Drosophila melanogaster: one gene and its partners. The protein of the gene in region 2 purifies or fractionates together with the protein of the main gene of each other region. This does not show direct contact. Each region holds a gene or a part of one and is shown on either strand. Other genes may lie near its edges.

Evidence for each region.
Region 1: the proteins of neb (region 2) and feo purify together in Drosophila melanogaster (affinity purification with western blotting, with the first as the bait; one study listed by BioGRID). This does not show direct contact.
Region 3: the proteins of neb (region 2) and pav purify together in Drosophila melanogaster (affinity purification with western blotting; one study listed by BioGRID). This does not show direct contact.

Annotation. Positions count from the first base shown.
Region 1 is NC_004354.4:10,851,928-10,856,940, forward strand, and holds feo (fascetto), read right to left. Parts: upstream 2,943-5,013; 5' UTR 2,678-2,942; coding exon 662-2,677; 3' UTR 519-661; downstream 1-518. Other genes in the region: sofe (sister of feo), read right to left, coding at 3,521-5,013.
Region 2 is NT_033779.5:20,073,894-20,078,866, reverse strand, and holds the start of neb (nebbish), read right to left. Parts: upstream 3,111-4,973; 5' UTR 3,011-3,110; coding exon 1,571-3,010; intron 1-1,570. Other genes in the region: pr (purple), read left to right, coding at 3,842-3,909, 4,017-4,096, 4,531-4,676, 4,739-4,951.
Region 3 is NT_037436.4:4,241,104-4,246,822, forward strand, and holds pav (pavarotti), read left to right. Parts: upstream 1-1,630; 5' UTR 1,631-1,774; coding exon 1,775-1,785; intron 1,786-1,844; coding exon 1,845-2,603; intron 2,604-2,661; coding exon 2,662-3,211; intron 3,212-3,271; coding exon 3,272-3,593; intron 3,594-3,648; coding exon 3,649-4,199; intron 4,200-4,260; coding exon 4,261-4,731; 3' UTR 4,732-5,130; downstream 5,131-5,719. Other genes in the region: Sqor (sulfide quinone oxidoreductase), read left to right, coding at 1-73, 132-332, 391-600, 801-987, 1,041-1,357.

The DNA of each region.
Region 1 (5,013 bases), on a different chromosome or scaffold from region 2:
CACCGGGCTCTGGCCAATTGAAGGGTTCATCACTGGCGCAGGCACCACACGTGCCGCCCATTTTAATGTGTTAATATGTATTTAATAGTCAAATAAGAACTGCTCTACTACAGTGTAGGCGGTTGGAATCTTTTTATAAAGCTTGCATCAGTGCGATTGTATATTAGTATATTAAAATTAAATTGCACATAGCTCCCCCTCCCTCAAACAATTGACAAATTGAATTGTATATTAGTATATTAAAATTGAAGTCCAAATAGCACCCCCTCCCTCTAACAATTGACAAATTTAGTTGTATATTAGTATATTAAAATTAAAGTGCAAATAGCTCCCCATCCCTCTAACAATTAACAAATTTAGTTGATGATCAAATAAATCGTGAAAGCATAGTAAAACATCGAAATGTACAGCTATTTCTTTTTGGTGGAAAACTAGCAAAAAATTATTAACAAATGTACAACCAATTCCTGAAATTTACACACGAATTATGCTGAAAGAAATGTGAAATACACTCGAGTCTTGTGGTCAAGCGAAAAAACTCACATAAATTTTATTCTGAAAACGTAAAACAGAAAATAAAAAATTAAAATACATCAAGAAACTCCAACTGTTATGAAATAGTGTAGTAGGTACGCGTTAAGCTAGTCAATCTCCAGTGGAACTAGAACTGTCTGCGCGGCTGCACGATCATCAGGCTTTCCCGCGGCACCGGCAGATTGGCATTCATTTCCGCACGACGAGTTCGCGGCACGGCCAATTGATGACGCTGGCGCGGCAGCATCGAGGAGCGACTGGTCGGCTGAAATTCGTCATAGCTGACACCCTGCTCGGGATTCTCGTCCGTTGTGTAGTCACTGCTGTCGGGTGGGGCGTTCTGATCGTTGGACTTGGTGCGCGCCTTCTTGCTGGAACGCGTTCCAATGCTGCGCCTGCCCATACCGCCGCTGCGTCGCAGTGTGTTGTCCAGTACGCGAACACGTTTCAGCGGCGACTTGGTGCTCTTCAGCTGGTTATGCTGCTGGCTGGGCGCGAGCAGGTGCTTGGCTGGCGACGCCTTCATCGAGTTGAGTGTGTTCATAAGGCTGCGCTTGGCGTTGGGCGTTTTGGGGCCCGTCTGCAGGCCGGACGGATTCAGGCGCTTGTGCAGATTGCCCGTACTCTTGGTGATGTTTAGTGGACGGAGGTGCTGCTGCGACGGCGTCTTGCGCAGCGACATGGTGGAGCTGGAAAGGGTCGACATGTTGCGCAGCGTGCGCGGCGTGCGTGGAGCTGTCGAGCCCGTTGCCGGCGGTGGCATTATCTTGCTGGCCGATGGCGGTGCCTTCTTGCGCGCCGAGCTCTGCTGTTTGGCCTGGCGATGACGCTCCCAATCGGCGGCCATCCGCTCCAGGATGTTCTCGCCGTGCACCAGAAAGGGTGTGTTCTCCTGCGCCTCGTATGCCTGCACCAGTTCCGTGATCTGCTGCTCAATCTTGGGCAGCTTGGAGGTGATGGCCTTGCGCTCCTTCTCCTCCTTGAGCAACTGGCCGCCACGATTGTTGAAGCGATTCGGCTCGCTCGCCTTGGCCTCCAGCGCCTCCATGCGCGACCAGAGTTCGGCACGGCTTTCGTACAGATCGAAGATCTCCTTGTTCTTGTTGTAGAAGGTCTTGAGGTCGTCCAGCTCAAGTTCGTGGAGCTCCAGCAGATCTTCGTTGTACCAGTCGTTGTAGTAGTTCGAGAAGCGCTTGCGCTCCTGCTGGCTCTTAAGTGTGAGATCCCACATCTCCTTGATCTCGATGCGTAGCTGCTCGATGAAGGTTTTCAGATTCTGGCGTCGCAGGGCCTGGCAGCGCTGCAGTTCCTCCCGCAGGACATCGTAGGTGCGTTGAGTGTAGGTCGTAGCCTCGCGCACGCGACGCATGGCATACTCGTCTGTCTCCTGGAGTCTGTCCCACAGCACATGGATCTTTTCGCGCATATCGTCGATGCGCTCCCTCAGCTCCTTCACCTGGTCGGCGAAGTTCTTTTGCATGTTGCGCAGGAGCTCGAAGGTCTCCGGCGTTAGGCAGTGATCCACCTGGTTGAGCAGACGCTCCTCGGTGTCCGTCTGGGGCAGGCACTCAAGCAGCTTCATGTCGTGCTTAATGGCCTGGCGCAGCTGGTCCATCTCTTTGAGGCGCAGCACTCGCTGATCGCGTAGCTGGCCCAGGCGATTCCGAAAGGCGTCCATCTCCTCGGGCAGCGGCAGTGGATCCGCCAACAGTGGCAGAGGCAGCTCTCCCAGTTCCTCGCACAGCTGCTCCTGCTGCAGCAGAAGCTCACAGATCTCCGCTCGCCGCCTGGCCAGCTGATCGCGTAAGTGCTCGATGCTTTTGTCCAGCTTCAGCTCCCAGACGACCAGCGGCATGGACTCCGGCCGCTCGCCAATGTCCAGCGGCTCGTGGAGTAGGCGCGTCAAGTCGGTGGCCTCTGCCCGCAAGGCGGCTATATCGTTGAGGATCGCCTGCTGCTTTTCGCGCGACTCATTGAGCAAATCCGTGAAGAAGCTGTTCGCATGGTCCTTCAACCGGAGGAGGAACTCACCGCAGGTCTTGACCTCGAACAACTGCGACCACATCGCGTGCAACTGATCCACGTGCTCGCCCGTCATCTCCAGGATCTGGGCCTTCACCGCAATGGCGCTCGGCGAGTTCATTTTCTCCGTTTTCGTTGTGAAATTTGTGTTTTTTTTTTTTTGTTCAAAATTTCTTTTCTTGCGTAAATGCTCACTGGCTTTGTTTTTTCGTTGTGTTCACTTGGGGACTATTTAACCAGCATATCTGAGTTAACTTGACAGTTGTGTCGCAGACCCACAACGCTGGGCAGGATTGCTCGGGAATGTGCGGATTTATTTAGTGGTTTATTTAGAGTGCATCACTGCACGAAATTTCGAACTGAATGAATCGATGACGCTAGACAGAAATTTCGGTAAATTCAAATTGAAATGGCGGCCAAGAGTGTTGCCACCGCGTTGTGGGACAGCATTGCCACGCGGCGGTAACTTCTGGTAAAACCAGGGCTGGAGCATACGCCACTTTTTTGAATATTTAAAATTCGTTATTTGGTTTATTAGCAAATTAAAATATCTATTTTAATTATTTTGCTCCTTAAAAACGTATTATATTCTCTTATATGCGCTTAGTAAACATCCCACAGACTTTAGAAAACCCTTCCCACACATGTATATTTTGGTAAAATTGAAATCAAGTAATTTATAATGTAAACAAGCGTTTTTATCTGACTAAAAATTTAAAATGTGGACAATTGTTCATTTACTTCTTGCCGTCACAGGTAGTGCAAAATAGTTAAAAGAATTTTAAAGTTGTAAATTTAGATAGTCTTTGCGCTAGGAAAAGCCCTAACACTATACATATGTGTATACATATAAATACGATGAGTCTGCAATTGCGAGCCAAATACTTCAGTACAGGTAATAGATATAGAACACAGATCAGTTGCCGAAATGATTGCCATTGGATGTGATTAGAGTCTAGCTCCATTATATGGCCACGACCGCCTCCTCGTCGGGACTCTCGTTCTCCTCGCCGGACGGCGGACGCACATGGATTTTTGGTATGGGACGAATTTTCTGGGGATTCCTGCTCCCTGTGCTCGGCCTGCCGGATCCCTTGCCCCGACGCACCGAGTATTCCAGCACGCGCACCTTCCTCTGCGGCGACTTGAGCAGCTTCTGCCCATTCACACAGACCTTGCGACTTGCATTGTTGCACTCCAGCGATGCGATTAGATTTCGCTTGGCCGCTGCTGCCGGCTGTGGACTATTGGTGTTGTGATGCTGTGGATGCCGTCTCTTGTGCAGATTCCCTGTGCTCATTGCCGTGGTGCTGGCATTTGCCTTGGTCGGCGTCTTCTTCAACGAGGATGTGGATCCATGGATGCCCCGGTTGCTCTTCTGCGTATTGGGCGTAAGAGGCACCATTGGCGGCTTCATTTGGCCGCTCGTATTGCTGCCATCCTTCTTCTGGGCGGAGGGCTGCTTTTTGGACTGTCGATGCCGCTCCCAGTCCGCCGACATGCGCTCCAGTATATCCACGCCGTGCACCAGGAACGGCGTGTGCGTTTCACTCATGTAGACCTGCACCAGTTCGGTGATTTGTTGATCGATCTTGGGCAGACGGGACATGATAGTCTTGCGCTCCTTCTCCTCCTTGAGCAGCTGTCCACCGCGATTGTTGAACCGATTTGGATCGTTGGCCTTGGCCTCCAGGGCCTCCATGCGCGTCCATAGCTCGCCTCGATTCGCGTATAGCTCAAATATCTTCCTGTTGCTGTTGTAGAACTCCTTAAGGTTGTCCAGCTCCTTCTCGAACTGCTCGAGAACATCTTCGGTCTGCGTATCACAGTAGTAGGTGGTGAAGCGCCTGCGCTCCTCGGTGCTTTTCAGTGAAAGATCCCACCACTCGTTGATCTCAATGCGCAGCTGCTCGATGAAGGCAATCAGATTCTGCTGCCGCATCGCCTGGCAGCGCTCCAGCTCCTCGCGCAATATGTCGTAGGTGCACTGGTTATAGGACGTGGCTTCGCGCACACGACGCATGGCGTATTCGTCGGTCATCCTGAGCCGCTGCCAGAGGCATTCAATCTTGCCGCGCATCTCGTCGATGCGGTCGATTAGATCCTGCACCTGGTCGGCGAACTCTTTGTCCATTTCTTGCAGGCGCACGTAGGCGTAGGGAGTAAGCTTATGGTTATCCGCATTGAGTAACCGCTTTTCCGAGTCCGTTCGCAATTGAAGTTCGAGTAGTTTTATGTTTCGTTTGATGTTCTGGCGCAGCTCGTCCATATCCCTGAGGCGCTGCACTCGCTGATCGCGCAGCTGGGCTAGGTGCTCCCGAAAGGGGTCCATCTCCTCGGGCAGCGGCAGGGGATCAGCTAGAAGTGAAAGCGGCTGTTCGCCCAGCTCATCGCAGAGCTGCTGCTGTTGATGGAGTAGCTCCCTGATCTCTGCCCGTCGGCTGACCAGCTCTTTGC
Region 2 (4,973 bases):
TATGGGCCGTACTACCGTAACGAAAAGCAAAGTGGACACTGGACACTAAATAACACTCAGTGGAACGGGTTTCGGGAAAAAAGACAAGTGTTTGGACTTTCGATCAAGAGCCTCTCACTTGTGGGCGCCATGTAATTACTCATTGAATGCAGTCGAATGATTATAAATTACGTCGCAAATGTCGAGTGCGCCTTTTTTTAGAAGCCAGATACTTGTATTATATAAAACCCTCACTTTCGGATTAACTAGCCTGGTAATATTCCAACAATCAAGTTATTACGAACGTGTGGCGTTCGCTTAAGAGCAGTTGTTAACTTAAAATGCACACATAAGTATGTTACATTGATTGCTAAAGAAAACGCAGTCGTTACTCAATTCAAACAATCGTGAAACAAGTAGCTAATATGTTAACTAATGCACAACATTCAAGTCTCATGACAAGTTTATAACAATTTTCCTGCTAATGCTATGTAAGCATTTGCTGAGGTTTTATAACAAAATAATTATATTACCCGGGTGAAGACACTGCTATCTTTTTATTCGCGTTCTTAAAATAAATTTCTAGAAAGTTTACACGTGCGCCTTTGTATCAGGTCATAAATTTTATGGTCACATAGGAAAAGCAACAACAATAGATTAAATAGATATGATAAGAGGCCAAAATTTTAATCACTCAATTGATTGAGGTGCGGGAGGTCTTTGATTTGGTAGACCTTAATAAAAGGCTTTCCTATCGAAAATGATAAGGAAATAATAATAATAAAAAATACACTAAGTCTGCTGGCAATCTTAGCAAACAAAATAAACAAACGAATGATAACAAGGTTCGAGTTTAGAACTCGAGATCTCTCATATTTAGTCCTATAAAGCGCAGATAAACTCAATCTAATCTCTGGCTGATGTTGTCGTCTTCTTTTCCTTGTTTTTTTCGGACAATTTGACGCTTTATTTTAATTAAAGTAATTAGCACCCCAGTTAATTGATAGAGCCAACATAAATCTGTCTAGCAGCTGCTCCTCGCAGTGCAGACATCATTAAAACAGAATTCGCGTGTCGCGCGAGTCGAGATGATATCTCTGTAGACAGTGGGCTTCATAGCTCATCACGAGATCTGTTGAAAAGACGAATATCTGCCAGCCAGTTAAGTAAACATTTGACCGTACGAACATTTTGTGGGTACTTTCCGCAGGGGTCAACGTGTCATTTGCATGTTGCAGTGCAGTTCTACGTACTGATTGCTTTCCGGGTAATTACTGATTGCAAGGGGACCCCATTCCGTGGGCCACTGCCTAATCGAAGCGAAAGTGTTGATAAGCAATCCTATCGGTGGTGGCAAAAGTGCGGAAAGCATTGCGAATATACATATGCATTTATATTGAAGACATGAGGTTATAAGGTTTTACTGAGCTGAACTTATTCGAAACACATACTTAGCAATCACTTCTGGGTACAATTATTGATTTCAAAAACCAAGGGGATAAGAAAGAGTTATCATTAGCCGAAAGTAGACCAACCTACTGACCCGGTTGATAAGTACAAACGCAGCTAAGAACTATTTCGTAACACTTACCCGCAACAGCCAGGTGAGCACGCTCTCGCGATAGGGAACGAAGGTGCTGGGCGTCCCAGAGCCCAGGGGTCCATTGGCGATCGCCTTGCGGGAATCGGCGAGAGCAGCAATTACTTTCCCCAGCGTCAGCAGGCTCTTGTTGATGCTGACGCCCTCGCGGATCCGCTCGCCGTTCGATCCGGAGACGCTAATGCGTTCGCTGCCCGCCAGGTCCACCAGGCTAATCTTGCTGCGCCGCGTCTGCCGCAGGGAGGAGGCCGTGCTCGAGTCCGTATCCGAGGACAGGCCATCGTCACTGCTCAGATCGGTGAGGTTTAGGACAATGTTGAAGATGGAGTGTGAGCGCGAGCTCTTGTCGTTCATGGCCGTGGAGGCAGTGGCCCGCTGGGAGTTGCCCACGGCAAGCCAGTTGCGGAGTGCCGAGTACGAGTCCACCGAGTGGGCACTCAAGTCCACTACGTAGGGCCCGAAGATGGGATGCTCCCTGACCTTTAGAGCCGGACGCTGCTGCTGTTGTTGCTGCTGGATGGGCGTGGATTCCCCGGTGGCAGCTGCCGCATGCTGGACACTCAGCAGATCGTGTATCTTCTCGTTGTAGATCTCAAAGTAGCTGACCTCCACCTCCACCTGCAGCTGCTGCTGACTTTTCACAGCCTCTATGCGGCGGAATAGCTCGTGGCAGAAGCGTGGAATGATGCCCGCCTCATCGTGCGGCGGTCCGCCATCCAGAGCGGCGTCATCCAATGCTTCAATGCCCATCATGCTGTACGATTTGCCCGAGCCCGTCTGGCCGTAGGCAAACAAGCAGGCATTGTAGCCCTCGAAGGCAGTGTCGATCAAGGGACGCGCTGTGCCCTCAAAGACTTTGGCCTGGCAGGCGAAGTTCTTTCGTTCGGGATCGCACGAGTAGTAGACCTGGTCGTAGCTGAAGAAGTGCGTCACGCCGGCGGAGGCATCAGCACTGCTGCCCGCTTGGACAGTCAGCTCGTTGCTGTTTCCGTGCACCTGGACCACATTGGTGACCTGACCACGTGTGCATTCCAGGGCATTCAGTGGCCGCACTCGCACCGCCACAATCATGTTGCTCTCCTCGGACACGCTGAGGCAGGACTCCATCAGAGAGTCCCGCTCCTTTGTCCTGCTGCAGCTGGATTTCCCGGTGCCGGGCGTCTTTGCTCTTCCAGGAGTAGAGTTCGCATTCCTGTACAGCGACGAGGGTGTGTAGCAGGCATTCAGGGCCGTGGGCTTGGGCTTCGGCTGTGGCGTGCTCCCGCTGAATGCAGTGTTCAGCAGCTGTTCGGGACGATCCCGGTGCTCCCGATCCTCCGCCCGCGTCATCAGCACCTTCTTGCGCATCTCGGATGCCGGCGTGGATTTGTGGACTCCTCGCGTCTGGAACTGCTGGATGCGCTGCCGCACCGGAGTGCTCTTGTTGCTCATGTCTAGATTATTATTTAGGTATCTCTGCTCGTTTTTTAAATAACGCCGAAGAGTTTCGAATTATTGCGCGGCGTCGTTTGTTATTTTTTTTCTAGTGAAGGGCGGCGATCGATAGCAAAGCAGGGTTGATTACAGTGAGCGGCGTGAGGTCCGGCAACGCCACCACGAGCCAGGGATGAACAGCACTTACATACTCTGTTAGCTAACTCTGTTAATCAGCTCATTTAAATTATGAGATAATTGACAAAGAACTAACATGAAATAAATAAATATATAGCGAAATTGTAATAGTGTAAGGATTTCTACCCATACAATAGTCTATTTGTGCAGTTGTAAATCACTGAGAACAGTTGTGGCGGCAAACTGCTCAGCTCTGGCCGATAACCGATACGCGCTGCCTTGTTATCGGGAGCAGCTGTTGACGAGCAACGTAGACAAAAGTAAATATTATTGAAAATCCATAGCAATTAAAGGTGAGTTCCTTGCTGAATTGAGTTTGTTACCATGGCTATAGCATACCACACCCTGTCTTTGCAGCACGCATAGGCACTTGCAACAGAAAACGAGGGAACATCAATCGCTAATCAGCTGCAATTAGCCGCACTCGAAAAGTTCAGAGAAACTAGTTCCGAGCGTGTTGATATCGCAGTCGCCGCATTTGTGGCTTATATTTCCTTGTTCCCTCGATCCAAGTACCATATAAATAAGCGCGGCTCAAAAGCAGGTTTTGCATTCATTGTAAAACATTGCCAAAGCGCGCAGCTGATCAGCCGCATATATAAATCCACATCCAGATACAGATCCAGATATATAGTATAAATCGGACTTGAAATGTCGCAGCAACCTGTTGCCTTTTTAACCCGTCGCGAAACTTTCAGCGCCTGCCATCGTCTCCATAGGTAATTAGATTGAATCAAATTGAATCATTCAATTGCCTGATTCAATCACGGCTGGCAAACCAATTCAGTTCGATTTAAATTGATTGCTGCATCTATTTTCTCTTCAGTCCCCAATTGAGCGACGCCGAGAATCTGGAAGTCTTCGGCAAGTGCAACAATTTCCACGGCCACGGACACAACTATACAGGTAAAAAAAAAAATACCCCTTAAATACACTTAGTCGCATGATTACCTGCAAAGTGCCACACTTATTATCACATAACCCCGGCTCAATCAGGCTTAACCCCCTACTAAACTGGTAATTTGAGCCCAAAGTGGTGCCTAACCATAGCAAAACCTTGGCCGACAAGCTCGCTTATCAAAACCATATTCAAGTTCAACGCTCAAAGGCAATCAATATGTTGACTGGCGACCGAGAATTGATAATGAATAATGGTTCTGAACGAGCATAAAGTGTCGCAAGTGCTCAACTGATTAGAAATTTGGATTATATTTAGATTGTCAATAGCTAAACCTTAAGAACTCAAGCTTGACTCGATGCCGATTATACCAAATTATACCAAAAAATGTGTGAATAGACTACGAAAGATGTTCTTTTATAATCCTTTGTGATCTTTTCAGTTGAGATAACCGTCCGTGGTCCCATCGATCGGCGAACCGGAATGGTGCTAAACATCACCGAGCTGAAAGAGGCTATAGAAACTGTGATTATGAAGCGCCTGGACCACAAGAATCTCGATAAGGATGTCGAATACTTTGCCAATACAGTAAATAACCAGCAAGCACAACACAACTTACCGTACTTATCCTTTATATCTATCCCCCCCAGCCAAGCACCACAGAAAACTTGGCCGTTTACATCTGGGACAACATCCGTCTGCAGCTGAAGAAGCCGGAGCTGCTGTACGAGGTGAAGATCCATGAGACCCCAAAGAACATTATCAGCTACCGCGGCCCGTATCCGCTCAATGGCATCTACAACCCCATCAACAAACGCATCGCTCACGATTCGTGCACCAACATCTCGTCGGATTCGGATTGAACATTCGAAGATTGTGACATCG
Region 3 (5,719 bases), on a different chromosome or scaffold from region 2:
CACTTCTGGTGGCAAGACCATCAAGTACGACTTCCTGATCATCGCCACCGGACTGCAGCTCAATTATGGAAAGGTACGTAGGGTATCAGTACGTTTAATAGTTGCTAATATCCATATCCACATATCCATAGATACCTGGCCTGGTGGAGGCCCTGGAGACCCCCGACAGTAATGTTTGCTCCATCTACTCGCCCAAGTACGTGGATCATGTGTACGAATGTCTGCGCAGGACCAACAAAGGAAATGCTATATTCACGTTTCCCAATTGTCCCATTAAGTGTGCAGGTGCACCGCAGAAAATCGCCTATATATCTGAGCACTACTTTAGGAAGGTGTGCATCATTTAGATAGAATATCTGGCAAACAACTTCAATTTGAAACCCTTTTCAGATGGGTCGTCGCGACAACGTCAATATCATCTACAATACATCGCTTCCCGTGATTTTTGGTGTTAAGCATTACGCAGAGGCCCTGATGAAACTGATCAAGAGGAGAAATATCACGCTTAATGTTCAAAGAAATCTCGTTGAAGTGAGACATAAAGATAATATAGCCGTGTTCGAGGATCTCGCCAAACCAGGAGTTCACTATGAGGAAACGGTAAGTGCTGGTCAATTAATTGGGTATTCTAGATACTATATAGATCTAGATCTAGATCCTAGAACTATATCTTTCTACTTAAAGCGAGAAATATGAAGAGTAGGTTAACTAAGATCAATTTTAAAGTCGTATAGTATTGCAGAAATAGGAGAATTGAAGGCCATGAAATTAAACTTATATAAGTATTATATCTTTCTCAGTACTCCATGCTTCATGTGACTCCGCCGATGAGCACTCCGGATGTGGTGGCCAACTGCAAGAAACTGGTAACCCCCACTGGCTTTGTGGACGTCGACCAGTTGACGCTGCAGCACAACAAGTACAGCAACGTGTTCGCCATCGGCGATTCGGCGTCCAGTCCCAACTCGAAGACGGCCGCGGCGGCAGGTAAATGGGTTGGGAATCCTGATCAGAATATTCAATTGATTTTTCACCTCCAGCCGCCCAATCACCGGTTGTGTTCAAAAACGTAATGGCGGCGATCGAGGGCAAAGCCCCAACGGATATCTACGATGGATACTCGTCCTGCCCCATCGTCACCGGCTACAGCTCCTGCATCCTGGCTGAGTTTGATTACAACCTCACCCCCGTGGAGACCTTTCCATTGGACCAGTCCAAGGAGAGGTACTCCATGTTCTTTATGAAGAAGGAGCTGATGCCGGTGCTCTACTGGAAGCTGATGATGAACGGCTACTGGAACGGACCGGCACTAATGCGGAAAATTTTCTCAGTGCTAAAGTTTAATAAAAAGCAATAGGGACCTCAAATGATCTTTAATTAATTTTAAAAGAATATTTGGCATCATCATAACCATTCCATACCTTAATATCATACTAATTTATAAACATTGTACTTTTAATTTGGTATGTGAGATCATAAATAAAAGTATTAAATTAGTTTAAAATCTAGTATATCTAAATATTTTAACCTATTCAAATGGCACGCACTGTACATAGCCTCGGTTTCAGTATGTATCAAGTATATATTGGAGCAGGGGATGGTATTTGCAGCATTAACCGCTTTCTAAAGTTCGGTCACTCTAAAACCAAGCGTGGCGTCGCTTGGCGCTGTAAATTTGAAGGTAACGAACTAAAAGAGAGATCGATTCCAGCAACAAAACAAGAAGAAACCCAACTCCCGTATATCAAATTAGTTGCAAAAACGAGCTGACAACATGAAGGCAGTGTAAGTGATATGACAGTTCCCGAAAGAACAACTCCATCAATGAGAATACCCATTTGCAGACCCAGGACGCCGATGCGTGTCGTCCCGAAAACTCCGCGGGTGCATCAAACGGTGGAGAAACAGCGACGAGACACCTCCGACAAGGCCAGGGATCCAGTGAATGTGTTCTGTCGAGTGCGGCCACTACAATCCGACGCAGATCTCACCTCCCTAAGGGTCAAGAACTCCACGACGATCGCACTGAATCCGCAGGATCAGCTGCTGCAGCATCACAAGCCACACAACGGCGCCCAGCGCGAGGTTCAGTACATATTCAAGCACGTTTTCCAGCCGGATGCCACGCAGCAGGATGTGTACGCAGCTGTGGCCCAGCCGTTGGTGGAGAACCTACTGAAAGGCCGAAACAGTCTGCTTTTCACCTACGGCGTGACTGGAAGTGGAAAAACGTACACCATGACCGGCAACCTGCGACACCGCGGCATCATGCCGCGCTGCCTGGACGTGCTCTTTCGCACCATTTCAGATTACCAGGCCAAGAAGTTCGTCTTCAAGCCGGACAAGCTTAATGGCTTCGAGATCCTGTCCGAAGAGGATGCGCTTTTGGAGCGCCAACACGAGATGAACCAGCGTTTTGCTGGCTCAGGACGATTTGCCTTCAGGCACAAGGACTCGGATCCGGAAATTGCATCCCAGGCCTCCGTGGAGCCAATTCCGCTGCTGGGTTTGGATGAGGACAACATGTACTCGGTGTTTGTCACCTATATTGAAATTTACAATAACAGCGTCTACGACCTCCTTGAGGACTCGGGTATACAGAAGTAAGTATTTATTAAGCATTACATTTAAAGAAATCTAACTGTATTCTTGACCCGACAGGACTTTGCAGAGCAAAATCATTCGTGAAGATGCCAATCGACACATGTTCGTCCACGGCGTCACAGAGGTGGAGGTCAAGACCGTGGAGGACGCCCTCGAGGTCTTTCAAATGGGCCAGAAGCGCAAACGAATGGGACACACTGTTCTCAATGCAGAATCCAGTAGGAGTCACTCGGTGTTCAATATACGCTTGGTGCAGGCGCCCACTGATAGCCAGGGTGAGAATGTGGTTCAGGACCGGCAAAACATCACAGTGAGTCAACTGTCCCTGGTGGATCTGGCGGGCAGTGAGCGATCCTCAAGGACCAAGAACACCGGTGTGCGACTCCGTGAGGCGGGCAACATCAATAATTCGCTGATGACGCTGCGCACTTGCCTGGAATATCTGCGCGAGAACCAACTCGCGGCTAGCAATGGATTGGCACCCAAGAAGGTCCCCTATCGAGACTCCAAGATCACACACATGTTTAAAAACTACTTCGATGGCGAAGGCCAGGTGTCCATGATTGTGTGCATCAACCCAAGAATTGAGGACTATGATGAGAATATGGTAAACTATTTTTCTGACAACAATGTACTCTGGTCCCTAAAATTTATTTATCCCGTTTAGCAAGTGATGAAGTTCGCCGAGATGACCCAGGAGGTGCAAATTGCTCGGGCGACTCCTATGAAGCAAGATTTGGGTCTGACTCCCGGCCGTCGCAAGGCCAACAAGCTGTTCAAGATTGCCGTTAATAATCTAAACGAGCTGGGCATTCCTGAGGCCAAGGATTTGGAGGTGGACGTGGGTTTGGTGTACAGTTTGGGACCCGATTTTCCCGCCTACGAAATGGACAGTCCCGAGGCACAGATCAAAATCCGCGAGCTAATGCATTATCTGGAGCAGCGCATAGAAAAGCGAAAGAAGCTGCGTGCCAACTTGGACATTAAATGTAAGACGTCACTTTCTTAATCTTAACATTGAAATACTAATTCCACAACTTTCAGGTGACAGCTTCCGGCAGATGCTGATGAACCTTGACCGCGACAATCTTCAGCTGCGCACGGAGCTCGCCTCCTTAAAGGCTGTTTACAAGCAGGAGCGCGATCGCAGTGCGGCACTCGAGAAGAAGGTTCGCATCCACGAGAGCTCCATTGACGTGCTTAACAATACGCTAAGCAAGCAAGAACGGCAGATTGAAGAGCTGACTTTCAAGCTGAACGAGAAGGAGAATATGCTCACCCAAAAGGAGCACGAGAAGGAAAAGCAAAAGAAGAAGTTCAGCTCCAAGCTGGCCGTTGAGTCGGACAAAAATAAGCGAGAGTTTGAACTAAAGCTGCGTGAACAGCGAGTGAAATTGCAGGAACGCATGCGCATCAAGGACGAGAAGTTGCGATTGGTCTCCAACATTCTGCAGTCCGAAGATCTGCCCAGTTTGCCGCGGTCACAGAGCTCGGAAAACATACTTAATGAGAAAGATCGCGGTGCATATACGGCGCGCACGGAGGAGTCCTCGGTGCCAGCTACACGAACAGATATATATGCAACGCCACGTCATGTAAGTGTATGATTAATCCTAGAATATTGCAATATCTATTGATAATTTTATATCCCAACAGGGTGCAGCAGCGGCCAACAATCGGCATAGACGCTCTCGATCCGCAGGCGACAAGTGGCTGGAGCATCGGGCAGCTAATCCCGTTCCGCTTGGCACTATTATGCAGCCGTATCTGAAGAATCGCAAATCCGTAACGAAACTAACCGACTTGAAGGAGTTGACTGCTCACGGAACTACGAAGTACTGTCTCGTCTCGCAGGATGCGGATACGGATGGCGATGTGGAGACGAAGCTGTATAAGGGCAATGTAATTCCCACTTGTGGCGGTGGTGCCCAAGTTGTGTTCAACGATGTGGAGTGCCTCAAGCAGAAGTCACCGGTTCACTCGCCCACGCGAAAGCGACCCAGCAATGGCAACATTTCGGCTCTGGGCGGCGGTGCAGTGCCCAGCACGGTCACCTCAGCCCAGGACGTAGCCTCCCGCTGCAATCTCGGCATTGAGGGACACAGCAGCAAGAAGTCGAAAATCTAAAAATGACTCAGCGTGGAATTCTCAAAGTCAATTACCCATTTAGTTCATAGTTACTTAGTTTCCATAACTTAAATTTAAGTTTATTACTCACCCACTTCGGTTTTTGGAGTTGAATCGCATTGAAGTGATTTGTTTGATTAAAGAAAAGTTAATCTGTATAAATAATCCCGTAAATGAATTCGCAACCCCTCGCAAATGGAAATGTTTCCTGCTCCAAATAGTCGGTACCCGGAGGGTATCTGCCAAGAGCAGTTGTTAGAAACTATCCAAGCATCGTCCAATCATAGAACTACTCTAGTGTTATTATAAAGTATTAAATATTTTATTGTTTTTCGGAGTGAACCCAACTCCAGTCCAGTCACAAAATGAACAAATAAAGTGAATTACGCGCATATACTGAAAGTGATCAATTTGGTTTTTATCAATTTTAGATTTTCTGGCTGCAAAGCTCCCAGAGTTCCGTGAAGCAATAACATGTGGCACATAGATGGTTTTAACTATTTTTATTATTATTCCTGCGTTTATTCAGATTTATGCTTAAACCGATAAATTTTATTGAAATACATACGGTACCATTACACATACATATTTGTAGATTAATTTCAATTACTAATAAATCAGTCTATAATTAAAATATATGTTCGCTTAATGATTTCACGTGTGTGAGTGTTGTTGTGTTGCAGTGTTCATGTTGCAGTTGCTGTTTCGTGGGTGTGAGTTGCTGCTCGATGAGTTCGGCAGATGACTCTTAAACGCTATGTGCGGCAAATGTGGCAGGTTCCTGGCAAATGAGGAATTTCGAATTTGGAATTGGAAGCCAATATCGCTAATGCTACTGCACGACAAATGAATCAAATCAAATGTAAAAGGGAAACAATCAGAACGTGATAATAGAATTTAGGTACATACCCGTTCAAGTACAATTAAACAAAACAAGTTGGACGAGACGAAACAAAACCACAAATGTAAACATAATAGGCGGCAAACT